Canis lupus familiaris: one gene and its partners. The protein of the gene in region 4 purifies or fractionates together with the protein of the main gene of each other region. This does not show direct contact. Links are inferred from orthologs where the notes say so. Each region holds a gene or a part of one and is shown on either strand. Other genes may lie near its edges.

Region 1 (4,296 bases), on a different chromosome or scaffold from region 4:
TCTGGAGTTGAGGGTGCACAGCTTTTTCTGCCAGTCCCCGGAATCCACCATTCCCAGGGGGCCGAACCAGGAGTGGGGGCAAGGGGCTGGGGTGATGCCCTGAGGGCCCTGGGGTAACTGTCTCCCCTCTGCCACCTCCACCCCCCCCAGAGTGTGGGGTGTGGGAACACGTCCATTTCTCTCCTTCCCTCCACCCTTCCCCAAATCTCACCTGAGCCTCCTGCACCTTCCCTGCCTGGGTCTCCAGAGGGTCAGAGGCTGGGGGAGGAGGGGGAGCAGACGTGGTTACAGTGCGGGGCACAGTTAAGTGGGGATGAAGGGCTTCAAAGCAGAGGGGCAAGGGGCAAGAAGACCCACCAACCTAATTATACTGGGGTGGGAGGTGGTGGTAAAAGCTGAGCAGAGGGAGGGAGGGGATGGGGAAAAGCAGATCTTATTAGGATAGACAGTGCTGTCTGGAGAAGTGGTTAGTGACAGACAGAGGCTGGGGCAGGAAGGTTTGGGAGAGGGAGGAGAAAGTAAAGCATACAGGCATGGAGGAAGACTTAGAAGTGAGGAAGCAAACAGTAGTGAGTGTGTGTGTGAGCACGTGTGTGTGCAGGGAGGGTTAGGGTTTACAAACAGAGGGAAGTTTAAAAAAGGAAGAGAGAAAACAAAATACGCTTAGCAGAGACAGGTTTAGGAAAGGAGGTGCAGTGGAGACAGCACGTTTAGGAGGGGCACAGGAACTAGAGGGACGAGACAGGAGGGGGCGCCAGGGGTCCCCGAGCATCCTACAGTTCCCCCTAACAACCAGGTACCCTTAGCAACCGGGGCCGCGGCAATCTAAGTCCTTAGCAACGAGGGTCCTCAGCAACCGAGGTGCGAGAAACACGCGGTCATTAGTAACTTAGGGGACGTAGCAAAGGACCCTTACAATCTCGCGACCCAGAAACCCACCAGCCTGGCAAGATGGATCACTTAGCAACGACCCCCCACCCCCGCCCCGATTCCCACTGGCCGCCATGCAGCCCCCGTCTCCAGCCCCACCACGCCGGTCCTCGGGCCCCGGGGCCTGCAGCCCTCAGCCAGGCCCCGGTGCGACCCGACCCTCCCACCGGGGCCCCCGACTCACGGTCCGGCTCGGCCATGGGCGCGGGGCGGGGGCCCTCGGGGCTGTCACCGACTGCTCTGTCCCGTGACGGCACCGGAAACAGGAGGGGCAGAGACAGGGCAGAGAACTACGACTCCCAGCAGTCATCGAGGATGCATACAGGCTTTTCGTCCAGCGGCGCCTGCCGCTCTCGGGCTAGGAAGACACGGACGGCGAGACTACGAGTCCCAGAGGGCTCCGCGCAGGCAGCCATGTTGGTAAAGGGCGGCCGGAAACTGTGGGAATGGGTAGAGAGCCGCAGTCCGTCTGAATACTCTGAATGGTCACTGTGTGGTAAGGGGGCGGGGCGTGTGCTCTTTAGGTCATTCTGATTGGGTGAGCCAAGGGGGAGTGTTGGGGAATTCCCCGCAGGGCGGAAGCGCCGGGGCTTCAGGCAAAGCCAGCTACAGGCGGGCGGCCGCTGGGGCCCCTGAGGCTTCGGGGGCCATGGCCGGGGTCGCGTGCTTGGGGAAAGCTGCGGAGGCCGACGAATGGTGCGACAGCGGCCTGGGCTCTCTGGGTCCCGACGCAGCAGCCCCCGGAGGACCGGGGCTGGGCGCCGAGCTGGGCCCGGGGTTGTCGTGGGCGCCCCTCGTCTTTGGCTACGTCACTGAGGATGGGGACACGTGAGTGAACCTTAGGCTGCCTAACGGGGCCCTAGGATCCCACCTCTGATTCCCTATTAGTCTCCTATCCCGGCTCCCTAACCTTTCACTCTTAAATCTAACTTCTGATGCTCGACTTTCTGATTTGTAACTCCTAACCTTTAGTAAAACCAATTTCCTAGCCAACTTTGACCCTAACTCCTTAATTTCTCCGACTTTCCTTTCTTGAGCTCTGCTTCATATTGCTCCACATCCCTATCCATTGATCCCCAAACTGGTTTTGATCTTCCCGACCCAAGTCCGGAGACCTTTGTTAGAGTTGTGGTCCAGACAGGCTCCTCCTCACCTCCTACCTCCAAATAGGATCCTTGATCCTTAGCCTCCTGATGGATGCGCCTTGAACTTAGATTTCCAAAATTAATACATGACCTTGATTCTTAACATTCTACCTTCTGAGCACCGATCTTCAGATCTTACATCCAAAGGGAAAACGTAAGCTCCATGATAGCAGGGATTGATGCCTGTTAAGTATTTGCTGAACACCACCACGTTCCAGGCACTGGTTTAGGTGCTGCGATAAAGCAGTGAGGAAAACAGACAAAAATTTCCGCTCTTGTGGAGTTTACATTCTAAGGTGCGTATGTAGACAGACAAAAGGACAGACAGGCTGACAGAAAGACAGGAAGGAAGGGAGGGAGGGAAAGAGGAGAGAGAAGGAACAAAAGAAACTAAGACACAGACGCAAAGTGAGAAAGAAGAGAAAGGAAAAGAAGAAACAAAGAAAAACGAAAAACAGTATAAAGGAAAGGCAGAAAAATAGTGTATCTGAAGGTAATAAGTTCTTTGGGGGAAAAATAAAGCAGGAAAACGAGATCCGTAGAGTATCTGGGGGAGAACTCTCCAGGCAGAAGGAACCAGAATTGTAAAGGGCGGTGAGGGATTGTCCTGGGGTTTTTTTGTGTATTTGTGTCTACTCATCCAGTCATGGTGACTAAACAGGGCTTGACCCATAAGAGGCGTGCAGGAAATATTGTTCTTTCCAAAGACCCCTGCTGAGGTTTCATTAGTTTTCTTTATTGGTTTTTTGCTTTCTATTTCATTGATCTCTGTTTTGATTTTCATTATTGCCCTCTTCGGCTTACTTTGGGTCTAATTTTTTTTTTTCTTTCTTTCTCTCTTTTTTTAAAGTTTCTTAAGGTGGCAGCTGAGATCATTCATTTGAGACCTTTCTTCTCTAACATTGGTGTTTCATGGTATAAATTTCCAGCAGCAGTACTTTAGCAGTCTCTCACAAATTCTGATATGTTGTGTTTTCATGTTCATTTAATTCAAGATACTTTGTAATTTCTCTTTTGATTTCTTCTTTGGCCAGTGGATTATTTAAAAATATGTTATTTAGGGCGCCTGGGTGGCTCAGTTGGTTGAGCTCAGGTTGTGATCTCAGGGTCCTGGGATGAGCCTCCCATTGGGCTCTGTGCTCAAGTGTGGCATCTGCTTGGAATTCTCTCTCTTTCTCCCTCTGCCCTTCCTGCTTATGCTCTCTCTAAAATAAATAAATAAATAAATCTTTTAAAAAGGGGTAGGGGGCAGAGGGAGAGGGAGAGAGAAACCCAAGCAGGCTCTGTTGGGAGCAGGGCGTGATCCCATGACCCTGAGATCAGGGCCTGAGCTGAAGCCAAGAGTTGGTCATCCAACCCACTGTGCCACCCTGATGCCCCTAAATAAATCTTTTTAAAAAAATAAATATGTTATTTAGTTTCCAGATATTTGGAAAGTTTTCCAAATGTCTCTCTTTTATTGATTTTTAATTTAATTCCCTTGTAGACTGAGAACATACTTTGTATGACTTGGATCCTCGTAAATTTATTGAGAATTGTTTTATGGTGCCACACATTATGCGTGCACTTGAAAAGAGTGAATATTCTGCTGTTGTTGGGTGTAGGGTTCTCTAAAAGTCAATTAGTGGTCCTATTGGTTTATCATTTTATATATCCTTACTAATGGTTTCTGTCTCCTTGTTCTATCAATTATTGAGGAGGGGGCATTGAAATCTCCAGCAGTCATTATGGATTTGTCTCTTGTTCTGTCAGGTTTTGCTTTGTGTAATTTGATGCTCTGTTATTAGGGCATGGATATGTAGAATTATTATGTTCTTTTGCTTAGTTGACCTCTTAATCATTACAAAATAACCTTCTCGATACTTGGTAATATTTCTTGCTCTAAAGTCTAGTATGATATTAAAATATTCACTCCTGGGCAGCCCCGGTGGCCCAGCAGTTTAGTGCCGCCTTCAGCCAGGGCATGATCCTGGAGATCCGGGATCGAGTCCCACATCAGGCTCCCTGCATGGAGCCTGCGTCTCCCTCTGCCTGTGTCTCTGCCTCTCTCTCTCTCTCTCTCTCTCTCTCTCTCTGTGAGTCTGTCATGAATAAATAAAATCTTAAAAAAACACAACTCACTCCTGCTTTCTTTTGACTGACTGGTGTTAGCACAGTATATCTTTTTCCACCCTTTTATTTTAACCTATCTTTTAATACCTATATTTAAAGGGTATTACTT
Region 2 (4,306 bases), about 1.9 Mb from region 4:
TCCTGCAACTATGACCACTTCAGGGTCAGCGCACTCATCAGTATCCCTCCCTAGCTCTTCCAAGTGAGCGTTACAAGAATATGGCTCCAACTGTGGAGATCAAACATACTCTAGTGCTAGCTATGCAGTACACCTAGCAGACAAAGGGCTTTATATGTTAGGGGCAATTGGTACCACAATCATCTGTGCAGTCTGCCCAACTCTAGCAGATGTTTGGGAAGTACCATTTGCCATCACCTCCAAGTCTGATACTCCAGCTCCATAGCAACCAAGCACATGTAGGAATCCATCATCTGCTACCACACATTACTGAGGCCTAACACGGCTTGTACATGCCATGCTCAACATTTTGGTTGTACCATTCAGGGATTCTGAATCAATAGATGCATGTTCTCTGCCAGAAGCCAATTCAATGCTTTCAAAGCAGCCAGCAACACTGCTGTGATGCACATGCTGTATTCATCTTTAGGCTTCTCAACATGTTAATCTGTGGGTCACAAAGTGTTGGTTGGAATTTAAGTACTGAGATCACAGGTGGGACTGTGCAAACGATGGCCCAAGTGCACATGATGTCAAGGGGTGTTCAAATGACTACTTTATGGAAGCAGTAACTGATATATTTCTTCAGAGAACTGGATGCCATAGTAATTTTTATACCCAGTTCTGGATATACTGACTGGATCCCCAAGTTCTGTGAGGCTGAGGCATATGACCAACTTAAAGTGAAAATGGGAGGTTGGTTCTTCCATGCTAAGGCTATCTGCCAATGGCAAATGCTTCTAGTTGCACCAACAGCATTCCTGAAGCTTGCCTCTGCAGCGCTGCATCACGAATCAGACACAGTTCCCTCAGTGAGGAACCACTGCACTGGCAAACCCATTAATGGAAGACCGACCACTGGACTGCAACCTCCATGAGGCACTTCGGGGAAAATTCCCCAAATCAGGAGGAACATTCTTTACTCCACAACAGTGTCACATCCTTGAGTCCTTTGTGATTACAGGCGAGATCCTGGTACAGGTGTACAGGAAGTCAAGCAAAAGATCTGAGCCTGATTTTATGGAAGATGATTAATCATTAAAAAAAAAACTATAAAGTGTAATGCATCGGTAGACGTGTTAGCGCAGGATTCTTTATAGTTTTTCGGATTCCGCAATATTTGAATCACTGGTGGCTTCTGCCAGTGCCACTTCAGCGAGCGGCGGAGTTGGAGGATAGATGGTAGAGGTCTGAAGAAAAGGTGAAATGCAGACAGGGTGGAGACGATGTGGAGTTTAGAACATGGCTTGAATGGAGAGCTTATAGTTTGGAAGCCTGGGAAATCCTATGTGGGTTCTCTCAGCCAGGAGAATGCCCAGGAGACTTAGCGGACTGGAAGCGAGCTGCCCTCATCCCGACCCTTTCTCTGGCCAGGTTCCTGTGTGCCCCCGGGAGCAGCTAGGGAAGGGCTTTTCCTGTGGCGGTTACCGGAAGTGACGCACACATCTCGCGAGAAGAAAGACGCGCGAGTCTCGGCGGCCCGGAACCGGCCTGGGAAGAGTGGCTGAACTTCAGGCCGCCAGCCCTCCCGCCCCATGGAGCGGCCCCCGGGGCTGCGGCCGGGCGCGGGCGGGCCTTGGGAGATGCGGGAGCGGCTGGGCACTGGCGGCTTTGGGAACGTCTGTCTGTACCAGCATCGGGTGAGGTGGGGCGAGAGAGGGAGCGGCGGTGGGTGTTTGTCAGAGCGTTTGTGGAACACAGCGACTGTCAGTACGTGAGACATTGTCGGTGAGACTTTGGGCAGCACCGTGGGCCGGTGAGCCTGTGTGAGTGAGTGTGTATTACTGTGCTTGTCGGTCTGGTGACTGAGTCCGAAGCTGTATCTGAGGTCCTGGGTCAGTGTGTGAAATAGAGCTCTTGTGGGGGAACTTTTGGTACGAACGTCAAGAAGTGACAAACTGTTTACCGAGTGTGACACTGCGATTGTGTCTCCGAGTGTAGAGGGTGTCGGGATGTGGGAGGCAGAGCCACATTAGAGTGTGTATTGTGAGCATGAATGGGTGAGAAAACGGGACTGAAGAAGGGGGTTGTCTGTTGGAATGTGTGTTCAAGTGTGTGCTTGGAGGCTGTGTGATATTTGTAGGGGCTGGAAGAGACAAGGAAGGTTTCGGAAGCATCCAGTAGGCTTCAGATCTTGGAATGCGTTCTGAGTAGGGAACAGTGTGAGGATCAGCTTGGTGAAATGATCATGGCTTCCTAAGGGAAGGAAGTAGATTGGGCGTGAGGTGGAAGACAGCTAACATCGGAGTCAGGAATTTTGCTTCAATTTAATTGAAAATGTTTAAGCATTTAGCAGCAGTTAATAATCATGTTTGAGCCATGCATCTTTCAGTATACCAATAAAAGCTATGAAACCTTTCCCCAGCAAAATGCACAGTTGCACATCCCCACCACCTTAGGTGCTGCCATTTGAGGGGGCTCATGCTCTCCTGAAGGATGTTCACAAACCTTTTAGAGGTATTAACCCTTGACTGATAATCTTTGCAGTGTTGCCTTTGTTTTTGTCATCTGTATTTTGTGTAAGATAGTTATATACATCATAGGTCTGTTTGAAAGTTAAAGAAGTTAATATGGGTAAAGCTAAGTACAATACCTGGCCTAAGTTAAGCCCTCAAGTGTTAGTTCCTGCTGCTGTTGTGTTGTTGCTATTGTCATCTTCTTTACCATTATTTTGTTTTCTTCTTTACCATTATTAATTAAACTTAAAAAAGGATACGTCAAGATAAAAGTGGCGCCCTTGGAGGACTGTTTTGTAAAAGATAAATCTGAGTGAAAAACACGGGACAAGATGAACAATTACAATATTATTCAAATGCATGCAATTGGCTTGTAAAGGGAATAAATGAATTCAAGATTTGCTTGAATCTTAAGGAATAGGGGTATGGGTAGAGAGCCCATAATATAGGATGGGAGGTAGGGGCATGGGAGTATACCTGGGAAAAATAGGTATGTTTGTGTGGCAGTCACAATGACAAATGTCAGTGATGGAGCTGAAGAAATGTTGTGAAGCAGCTTTCTAGATAGAGCATGGGAGGACATCTTGAAGAGAGGGAGAATGGGAGGTGAAGGACTAAAGCATTAAGTACTCTGACAGCTAAACAAGTAGTAAATTTAATAATTCTCACCATCAGAGAGTACATAAGGCACTTAAAGAGAAAAGAAGGAGCCAAGTACTTCCAGTGAAATGTTGCCTTTGGTGTTGTTATCTAAGCCTGTTCATTAGCCTGGTCATAAAAAAATATATGCTTGGTAGCTTGCTTTGTGACTGCTTTTCTTGGTCACTGGTTGGAAATAGATCAACACATCATTTTTTAAAAAAATTGTGATAAGGTATATATAATGTGAAATTTACAATCTTAACCATTTTTAAGTGTACAGTTCAGTGGCATTAAGTACATTGACATTGGTATGCAACCATTACTACCATCTATTTCTAGAACTTTTTCACTTTACCAGTCTGAAACTGTATTCATTAAACAATAACTCCCCATTTCCTCCTCCCCCTGCCCCCTGGCAACCACCTTTCTACTTTCTGTCTCCATGGAATTAATTACTTATTAAATGGAAGAGATTTGGGTTCCTCTAGAATCCTAGAAATCTCTCAGGAACTTTCCAGGTATCTAGACTGGTTCTTTCCTCAAATTGGAACATTTGACAACGGGGCTTGTAGTGGAAAGAGAAGAAATACTCTAAGACTTGGAAATAGCTTCATTACTTTTCCAAGCCTGACTTTGGATTTGCCCTTAACAGTTTTCAAGATCTTTGTGTTTTGGTGGAAGCCACGTCCCCAGTATTTTATCTATATCTCTTAAATCACAATGAGGAAGAGAAAAGGATGTGAGATGGTTTATTTATCAGATTATTATGCTGGGATGGGTGCTGATGGTATCCCAGTCAACAAAAATCGTATTTTCTGCCCTCAAGGAGATTTCAAGTCTAGTGGGAGAGGTAGACACAAAAACACTTTAAGTACAGCGTGGTAACCTATATAACAGATATATTTATAAATTTTTTTTTAATTTTTATTTATTTATGATAGTCTCACAGAGAGAGAGAGAGAGAGAGAGAGAGAGGCAGAGACACAGGCAGAGGGAGAAGCAGGCTCCATGCACCGGGAGCCCGATGTGGGATTCGATCCCGGGTCTCCAGGATCGCGCCCTGGGCCAAAGGCAGGCGCGAAACCGCTGCTATGATAGAGTGGCAAAAATAACCAAAGAATTCTTCCTAGGGAATAATGTAGCACTTCTCAAAGTGTGTTTGGGAAAAT
Region 3 (4,095 bases), on a different chromosome or scaffold from region 4:
GATGGGGCCATTCTCTGACTGTGGATAGATCAAAACAGAAACAAGATAATTTCTTAATTATATTTGAATGCAGATAAAAAAAAAAAAAATGAACAGTGTCCAAACCACCAAAAATGACCCAACATCCCCCATCCTGGTTAATGAGGAGGTTCCTGCTTCTTTAGCAATTACAGCTTCAGCCTCAATCTACTGTTCCCTCGGTCCAGGCATGAGATGCCCAATCACAGAATTATCCCTACTTCCTGACAGCATCTAATCCAGAGTAAAGCCTCATTTCCTTAAACCCTCTTCCAAATCACCTAACGACTCTTACTGAGCCGCCTAGGATTTCTCATGGCGGGTATTCTCCCTCCCTGCATCCAGTAATAAACTCAACTTGCTCAATCAGTATGTACGCGACGGTCTCCGGTTAGCGGATAGACCCGACAAAGTTCACACAGAGCTGAAGGCCGACTTCACTAAGAGTCTCCAGGTCTTCAGCTGCGGTCCTCCTTAGCGCCTACTCTTTTCCCACCACCAGAATTAAGCACCATGATAACAGAGTCCTTCCTCGTAATGTTCGGAGCGGACTTCAGACCTGGCAGAGTCCGAAAGTCTAAAAAATAATTATTTTCTGAAGAATGAGTAAGAGGGGCTCAGTATACACAGGTTCCCTTTCATCCCTCAGTCACTCCCACTTCGTGGTGCGTACAGACAACACCGCAGTTCATCGCCATAAACCCACTTTCCCCAACGACATTTCCGAACCTCTCACTTCTGGGTTGCCCATACTCTCAGAGCCCCTCCTTTGCCCGACGTTCCCTCGCTTGCTGGTCCCTCCTACACCCGAGCCCCAAGCCCTCCTAGTGCACCTGGAACCCACCTGTCTCCAACATCTGCCCCTAGCCATCGCTCGCTACCTAGGCGTAGACTGGGCACTGCGGCATCGACTGCGCATGTGCGGAAACCGGTCTCACAGGCAGGATCTCTGAAGAGGGAAGAGTTACCTCTGAGTTTCCGTCCCGGTCTGAGTCGCCGGAGGCTGCCAGGAAGTCAGGAGAAGCTAGCCGGAAGGAGAACCCGCGCGCAGGGCTTTCTGGGACATGTAGTCGCGGCATTCCCGAGGCCCTCTTTGGAGGGAGCCCTTAATTCTTTAGGTTTGCACGCCCCATGTTCACAGTCCAGTGCTACTTTCGGCTCAGAATTCAGCTTCGGGGTGCCAAGAGAGATTAGCCCGGTACTGACTTCTCGTTCCCACAGCGCTCTGCGGGGCCCCCGGCGCCTGCTGGGAGCTGTAGTCCTCGGTCTGCGTACTGCGTTCGCCGAGGGGGAGGGCGGAGCTGCCGGCGGCCCGGGCGGGCTGGCAGCTAGAGTGGGTAAGATAGCCGCCTCCGCCTCTGCCGCCTCCGCCGTCGCCTCCTCCGCCCGGGCCGTTCGCTGCTGCGCGGGGAGAGCGAGGCGGGGCCGCCGGGGCCGCCATGGAGCCCGACTCGGTGATTGAGGACAAGACCATCGAGCTCATGGTGAGTGAGGCCCGCTGGACCGTTCTTCCGTCCGGCCGGCCGCGGGCGGGCCTGCCCGCCTCAGCGTCCGGCGCGAGGCCGCCCTGGGCCTTCCCGGCTGCTTTGGCCCGGCCCTGGGTCCTGGCTTTCCCTGGCCTCGGGGCTGGCGCGTTTCCTCCGGATCCCTCGAGATCTCAGGCCGGACCTGGCCCGGCCACCTCCATACTCCTCGGTTCTCCTTCCTCCCTCTGTCCTATATCCGGGCCCATCTCTCGAAGGACCCTCGCTAGCTTATGCTGTGGCCTTAGCTCACGCTCGCTGTAGCATCTCATTCTCCTTCTCTTAGAAGGAGATTTCCCCGCTCTGTTTCTCCGGCGCAGGCCTGCACCTTTCTTGCAAGCCCCACTGAGGCCGAATGAAATGGTGGTGGGCGGGGGGGGGGGGGGGGGGGGATACGGAGGAGGTCGGTCAGGGCCTCGCTCTCCGCGTCCTAGTAGGGGCCTCAGCACCCTCTCCCCAGCGCAGGGCTGTGTGGATGCCGGGATAGGCCCTCCAGGGGTGGAGGTGGGAGGTCTGGGGTTTGAGGCTCTGACGGACAGGGGCCTCTTTCCCGGCCCCTGCGGTGTCCGGCTTCTCGGACAAAGGGTTTCCTACTCCGCGGTGAGGGATGTTTGCATAGCGAGGCCCCAGGTACTCTGGATTCCATCTCCCAGGAAAGAAAAACCGCAACTTGGTGTTTCCCAGCGTTGCTTTGGGAAAATGGGGGGGGGGGGGGGTTGTTTGTCCTCCTCACTGCCGCCAGTTCTTTCTTATTAAAAAAATAAAGAGAGAATCCTAGGCCCCTAGGGGAAGCGATCACTCTTCTATTACAGCCCACTGGTAGCCATACCAGACTCCCCGGCCCTAAGGACACCCCAGCCGCTTTCCATTTTACGACTTGGAGCCAGAAGGGGTTTTTAGAAACAGAACTACGAGAGAGTGGCTAGTAGAAGCGAAGAACTTGGTGCTCGGTAGATGATTTGGTGGAAGAAAAGAAACATGGCAGCTATTACCTGCCAATTTGAACATTGGGGAAATCAGCCCGGGCTCTGGAGAGTTGGGAGGAGGAAGTCTTTACCTCAGCCAGCGGACATGCCCAGGGTTTCTTCCTGTGGAAACCTTGACAGTTTCTTTGTATCTCTCCTACCACAGTAACAACCCCCTACCCCTGGGTTGAGAGGAAAGGTGAAAGAATCTACTTAACCCAGCAAAATGTTTTCCTAGCCAGATTTTCTCCAGTGTGAAAATGTTTATTGAGTCAGTGATTCCACTGGGTAGGGTCGGTGACATCAGAGCCACTTCCCTCATTTAATGCTATAAATAATAAATGGTGACACAAAGTCTGTTGGATAGCTAGCTGCATGGTTTCTGTGGATGATGGTTGGTATCTGGGGAGTTGAGATGCGTGTTTTAAAAATGGAAGTACAGTAGCATAAATACACCAGCTTAGTATTTGCTGTCCTTTGCATAATTCACAGAACTAGCCAGTATTCTTTAAAACTAGGGGGAAAAAAAAAAAAAGCTTTGGTTGGTTCTGCTTTGTGTGCGCACACGTGTGCTTGCCTTTTAAAGGATGTTGTCACGTGTGAATTTCGATTTTCATTAAGTAATTTTTCCCTTTTAGTGTAATTTATCAAACTATTGTAGCGAAGGCTTTGATATTCTGGAAATTTTATAGGGGTTATTTTGGTAAAATATCTTATTGGAATTCCATATATAATATGTATTCTAATGGATGTACAGTATATGTCCTCACAACTGGAGGAGTACTTCATATTGAAAAACTGTAACTTGGTGCCTTTGAAATTGGCTGTTCTGTGCTCCTTCCATTTCCATTTAAAAAATAAAATGCCTTTATTTTCAAAAGAAATAGAAGAAATACAGTGTAATTAATTTAGTATTTTTGAATGGTAAAACAAAAAATCTCTGTCCTAAATTTATTTGTTTCTCATGCTCATGACTTTAAAAAAGTTTTTGATTATACATGATTTTACTTGTTTATGATCTGAAAAGGTATTTCAGCCTTTCAAGGACATTATAAACTGGGATTCTCAGAAAATTTAACAAAGATCAATTTTGAAATGACTTTTCATATTCAGATTTTGATATTCTTTCAAAGGGATACCAGTTAAGACTCTTCAGCAACCCTTTTCATAACCATATATGTATTTATCTTAGTATAGTAGATAGGACAGGTATTTAACAACTGATTTAGTAAATCCAGGATTGTATGTAGGAATGATAATGCCTTAAAATCTAATTGCATGTAGCTCCCTGTATTCACTGTAATTTAATTACAGTTTCCAGAACTAGGTTAAAAATACTTTTTATATTGGTTTCAAAATAACATGATTGAAAGAAAGGAATGGGTTAAACTGATGGTATGTTGAAAGCCTAAAGCATGAAATAGTTTTCGATTTTTATGAGTCAGCTTCAGTACTTAAATATTTGTGATTGTGGTGCCTGTACCAGTCTGGTACTTAATGGTTAACAGGATAATAACTTTCATTTGATACTCTAGAGAGTGCTCTAATATTAAAGACAGGAAACAGACTTTTTGGGCATCTCCAGTTTC
Region 4 (4,198 bases):
AGAAGCTTTGTAGGCAGTTCTTTCCTCCTGAGGCACCCTCTCTACTGCCAGGCCTCAGCTCAGCCCTCATTCCTCCAGGAAGCCTTCCTGGTTTTCACTTGGGGCCTGGGGTTCTGAGGCCAACCTGTCTCTCTCCTTGGTCAGATGCTAAACTCACAGAGGCAGGCTGGGGCCTAGGACTGGGAGGCAATGAGGGGGCACCTACTGGGCAGTCATGTCCTTGGGCCCCACAGACACGGCGCAGACCCCCAGCTCCGAGCATTGCTTGCCCACCAGGCTGTGGGCATGAGCGCGAGGTGGGTCACTGTGCGTTACCAGGTCCACCTCAATCTTGGCTGGTCCCTCGTAGTTACAGATCTGGGAGGGGTGAGGGTTGTCAGTAATGCTCCTGAACACACTGTTAGCCCACCCTCCATCCAGCACCATCCTGACTCACCTTGACTGTGGGATAAGTCTTCCGACCCTTCTCACTGGAAGCCCCTGGCAATCCTCCATGGGAGGGGCCTTCACAGCCATATCGAAATCGGAAGCCTCGCTGAACGTCCCAGGGCAGATTGACAATGTGAACAGGAGGGACCCCTCTTTTCCCCCCAAGCCAGTCACACTCCCAGCCATCAGTGACCACAATTGGCAGTGTCTCTCCTGAACCACAACACCTCCATTGTGATCAGTAGCAGTCAGCCGTTTCAACCCGAAGTGGCCTCCGTGATCAGTGACCCTCCCCATGGCCACCCAACTACAACTACCCCACTGGTCCCTACAGCCGAAGTCCTCCCACACCATCCCTTCCATTCACTCACCTGCTTAGGCTGTTCGACTATCACCAAGTAGGGTCCATCAGCTGGGGACAAAGGGGCCTTGCTGAGCCAGGATTTCAGGGCCATCCCCCAGTCAGAGGGCACATGCTCCTCCCTCCCCCCTCTCTAGGACAAGGGGAGCTAAGGAACTCACTAACCTGTCTCTGGGGCTGGCTCCTTGGGCTCTGCAATGCACGGGTCGAATTTGAAATCATCATATTCAATCATGCCATCCAGACCCTGGTTTGGAAACAGATTAGGGTGGCAACTGAATCTGAGACACCGGAGAGCCTTCCACTTCCCAGCCCTGGGTAGCCACTCCCTTTCCTCCCCAGACCCATAAAAAGCTCCTCTTGGAAAAAGTTTGCAGACAGGCAGGCAGACTGACAAGCAGGTTGAGATAATCAGAGGGCATTACAGGTGTAGGGGGGCAGAGGGGACTCCGACAGACAGGCAGACAGACAGACAGACATGGGGGGCAGCCGGCCGGTTTTAGGGCCAGGAGGCGTGACTCACTGGGTCGTAGCAACTTTCCATGTCTCTGGGCTAGGCCCGGCTCTGTCTGGTGGCTCCGGCCAGGTTCTGTTTCCCAGAGTGTTTCAGGCGCCCGCCTTAGGTGGGGGCGGGGGGGAGTGACGGGGGGTGGGAGGGAGAGACAGATCAGGACACGAGGGGGGGGCGAGTGGGCCCCAGATTTGGGGGAGGGTCTGATCTCTTCCAGCCACCCGTCCGGGTGTGGCGGGCGAGATCCGGCAGAGCGCGAGATCCGGAGCTGGGCTGGGCAGGGCCGGGGAAGCGGCAGGAAAGTTAGAACAGCTTAGGAAAGTCCCGAAAATACCAGGGGGAGGCGGGGCCGGAGGGGGCGGGCCTGGAAATGACGCCACTGGCCCCGCCCCCGCGGCGGGAGGGGCGCGAGGTCGGCGGCGGCCTCCGAGCTTGCAGCGGCTCTGAGGGCAGAGGGGCAGCCAGACCCAGGGAGGCGCCCCTGGTGATTGGGCCCCCTTCCTCGTCCCAGGGCAGGTGCGGGGGGCTGGAGGGCCTTTCAAAGGTGGGGGACGCTCTTAGGTCGGGGCGAGGCCCGCCTCCCGCCCCCTCCCCCTCCCCTGTCCTGGAGCAACCTTGGGATTTTCTACCCTGAGGGAGGCCACGGCTGATTCACCCGGGGGCTTTTGGGGGGACATTCCTGCTGTAGGAAGGCCTCCTTTCCGAAGGCCTGTAGGCGGGGGCTCTTCCCAGCGGGGGCCCCCGGGGTTCTGCCCCGAGAACGGACTCTGGGGCCGTGGGGCGGGGGGAGGAACAGGGTCTCCTTCTTGGGACGGGCCCTTCTGTTGCCTCTCCCCGAAACATCTCAGCAGTCATTGGGTTCCCACACCGCACCTGCTCCGGGTGCCCACGCCCCCTGCCCCAGGCCCATGGCCGTGTGTGTGTATCACAGGCATAGTGTGCGTCGTCCCATGTGCTTGCGTGGTGTCAGTATGCATGTACCAGTGAGCAAGGCTGTGTGCAGGTGAGCGTCTGTGAACTTCTCAGTGTGGACGCGTCTGAGCGTGTTTTGATATGTAAGGGCACAGGTGAACATAGGAGTTCGTGCGTGAAGGATATGGGTCCAGGCACCTGTGCACGGGTGAGCATGTTTGCGTGTGCGCGAGTCTGAATGCATGGACAGTGCTGTGCACTCGTTCGCATACGCGTAGGTGCACGTATGGGTCCGCGTGTTTTGTTTTGTTTTTTTGTACAAGGATGTCGATGAGTATCCGTACGTCTTGTTCGTGTGCGTCCTGTGTGTGCTTGCAGATACCGCTCTCCAGCCCTGAGCCTCGGTTAGTTAAGGGCCCTCCTTCCGCCCTTCCCCGTGTCCCGGCCACTCACCGCGGCGGCGGCTCCGGTTCCGGCTTCTCTCCGGCCCGACCCACCTCGGACGGGTCGCGACACTTCTCCACAGCCACCCAGGCTCCAGCCGGGAAAGCCCCTTTTCCACCCCCGGGAGGGGGGAATTCCCGTGACGTTTCCGTGCGTCACGCCCCGTGCCCTTTTTCATTGGCTGAAAGTTTAACTCCGGACTCGTGCAGCCAATCCGGAGCGACTCACGCACGCCCCTAGAGGGGAGATACTAGCTCAGGCGGAGGAGTCGGGAGGTAGGATGACGGGCCGCTACTGCTAGGGCTCTGGCAGGGGGACCTGTCGCAGGCTGGATTCGCTGACCGGGCGCCATCTCCCGGCCAAGGGCCCCGGCTCCGGTCTCTTTACCCGCCCCGCCAGCCCCCAGACAGCTGGCAGTCCCTGCTGCTACTCGGCTCATGCTGCGCCTAACTCTTGCCCACTTCTGAAGCCGGGGAACCCCAGAGGGAAGCTGGGGGGCCCCAGGCCTCGGGTCCCCAGCCCGGAGCGGGGCCCCCGCTGCCGGGAAGAGTTGGGGGAAGAGGAAGGAAGTTGATCTCGCAGTTGGTCCCGGGGCGCCATCTGGCGGCCCCTGGTGGAGGCGCACGGAGACTCGGTAATCCTCTCGTGTTGTCTCAACTCCGTCTCCCTTCGAAGAGAGCATCTGAACCTGAAACTTATTGTATAAATGGCAAGGTCACAGAGGGAGACTTCTAGATCTGAGCTCCGGCTCTCTGCGCCAGGGAAGGTAAATGAGGTGTTCATCTTGGAGACTCAGATCTTGCTCATCCATCACGGAGATTTGGAATATTAGAATTGAAAAGGCATCCAAAATCTTAAACGGTTCGAACTTCCTCCAATGTAGGAAATAACCTTTTATAGAGCTTCCAACCCCGCTTGAACACTTTCAGTGGCAACAAGATCAGCACTGGACTTCATAAAATACTGACTCTGAGGCTGAATATCTGTGATAGGTGGAGTCCTGGTAGAACACAGGCTTTTGTTTCAGTTTTTTTTTTTTTTAAGATTTTTAATTTATTTATGAGAGAGAGAGAGAGGCAGAGACACAGACAGAGGGAGAAGCAGGCTCCATGCAGGGAGCCCGACATGGGACTCGATCCCGAGTCTCCAAGATCAGGCCGTGGGCCGAAGTCGGCACTAAACCGTTGAGCCACCTGGGCTGCCCTGTTTGATTTTTCAAGCAATTTGCCCGTGACCTTTTTTTTTTTTTAAAGATTTTTTAAAAAAGATTTATTTATTTATGATAGACATAGAGAGAGAGAGAGAGAGGCATTGGGAGGGACAAGCAGGCTCCATGCCGGGAGCCCGACGTGGGACTCGATCCTGGGGCTCCAGGGCTCCAGGGCTCCAGGATCACGCCCTGGGCCAAAGGCAGGCGCCAAACCACTGAGCCACCCAGGGATCCCCAAGATTTTTTTTTTTTTAATTCATTTGAGAGAGAGAGTGAGACCACTGGCAGGAGGGGAGCAGAAGGAGAGGGAGAAGCAGGCTCCCGGCTGAGC

Evidence for each region. The genes of interacting proteins can lie anywhere in the genome.
Region 1: the proteins of NFKB2 (region 4) and NFKBIB purify together in Homo sapiens (affinity purification with mass spectrometry; 4 studies listed by BioGRID and IntAct, counting the BioPlex papers as one, with this or other methods). This does not show direct contact. The link is inferred for Canis lupus familiaris from reciprocal best matches to the Homo sapiens genes NFKB2 and NFKBIB.
Region 2: the proteins of NFKB2 (region 4) and CHUK purify together in Homo sapiens (affinity purification with western blotting; 4 studies listed by BioGRID and IntAct, with this or other methods). This does not show direct contact. The link is inferred for Canis lupus familiaris from reciprocal best matches to the Homo sapiens genes NFKB2 and CHUK.
Region 3: the proteins of NFKB2 (region 4) and FBXW11 purify together in Homo sapiens (affinity purification with mass spectrometry; 8 studies listed by BioGRID and IntAct, with this or other methods). This does not show direct contact. The link is inferred for Canis lupus familiaris from reciprocal best matches to the Homo sapiens genes NFKB2 and FBXW11.

What each region holds. Positions count from the first base shown.
Region 1 is NC_049222.1:115,001,086-115,005,381, reverse strand, and holds the start of NFKBIB (NF-kappa-B inhibitor beta), read left to right. Parts: upstream 1-1,494; 5' UTR 1,495-1,579; coding exon 1,580-1,758; intron 1,759-4,296. Other genes in the region: SIRT2 (NAD-dependent protein deacetylase sirtuin-2), read right to left, coding at 1,115-1,240. UniProt on the Homo sapiens protein: Inhibits NF-kappa-B by complexing with and trapping it in the cytoplasm.
Region 2 is NC_049249.1:13,186,547-13,190,852, reverse strand, and holds the start of CHUK (inhibitor of nuclear factor kappa-B kinase subunit alpha), read left to right. Parts: upstream 1-1,504; 5' UTR 1,505-1,574; coding exon 1,575-1,679; intron 1,680-4,306.
Region 3 is NC_049225.1:41,128,529-41,132,623, forward strand, and holds the start of FBXW11 (F-box/WD repeat-containing protein 11), read left to right. Parts: upstream 1-1,293; 5' UTR 1,294-1,457; coding exon 1,458-1,502; intron 1,503-4,095.
Region 4 is NC_049249.1:15,092,090-15,096,287, reverse strand, and holds the start of NFKB2 (nuclear factor NF-kappa-B p100 subunit), read right to left. Parts: upstream 2,822-4,198; 5' UTR 2,667-2,821; intron 1,409-2,666; 5' UTR 1,335-1,408; coding exon 1,314-1,334; intron 1,038-1,313; coding exon 956-1,037; intron 842-955; coding exon 801-841; intron 536-800; coding exon 437-535; intron 358-436; coding exon 206-357; intron 1-205. UniProt on the Homo sapiens protein: NF-kappa-B is a pleiotropic transcription factor present in almost all cell types and is the endpoint of a series of signal transduction events that are initiated by a vast array of stimuli related to many biological processes such as inflammation, immunity, differentiation, cell growth, tumorigenesis and apoptosis.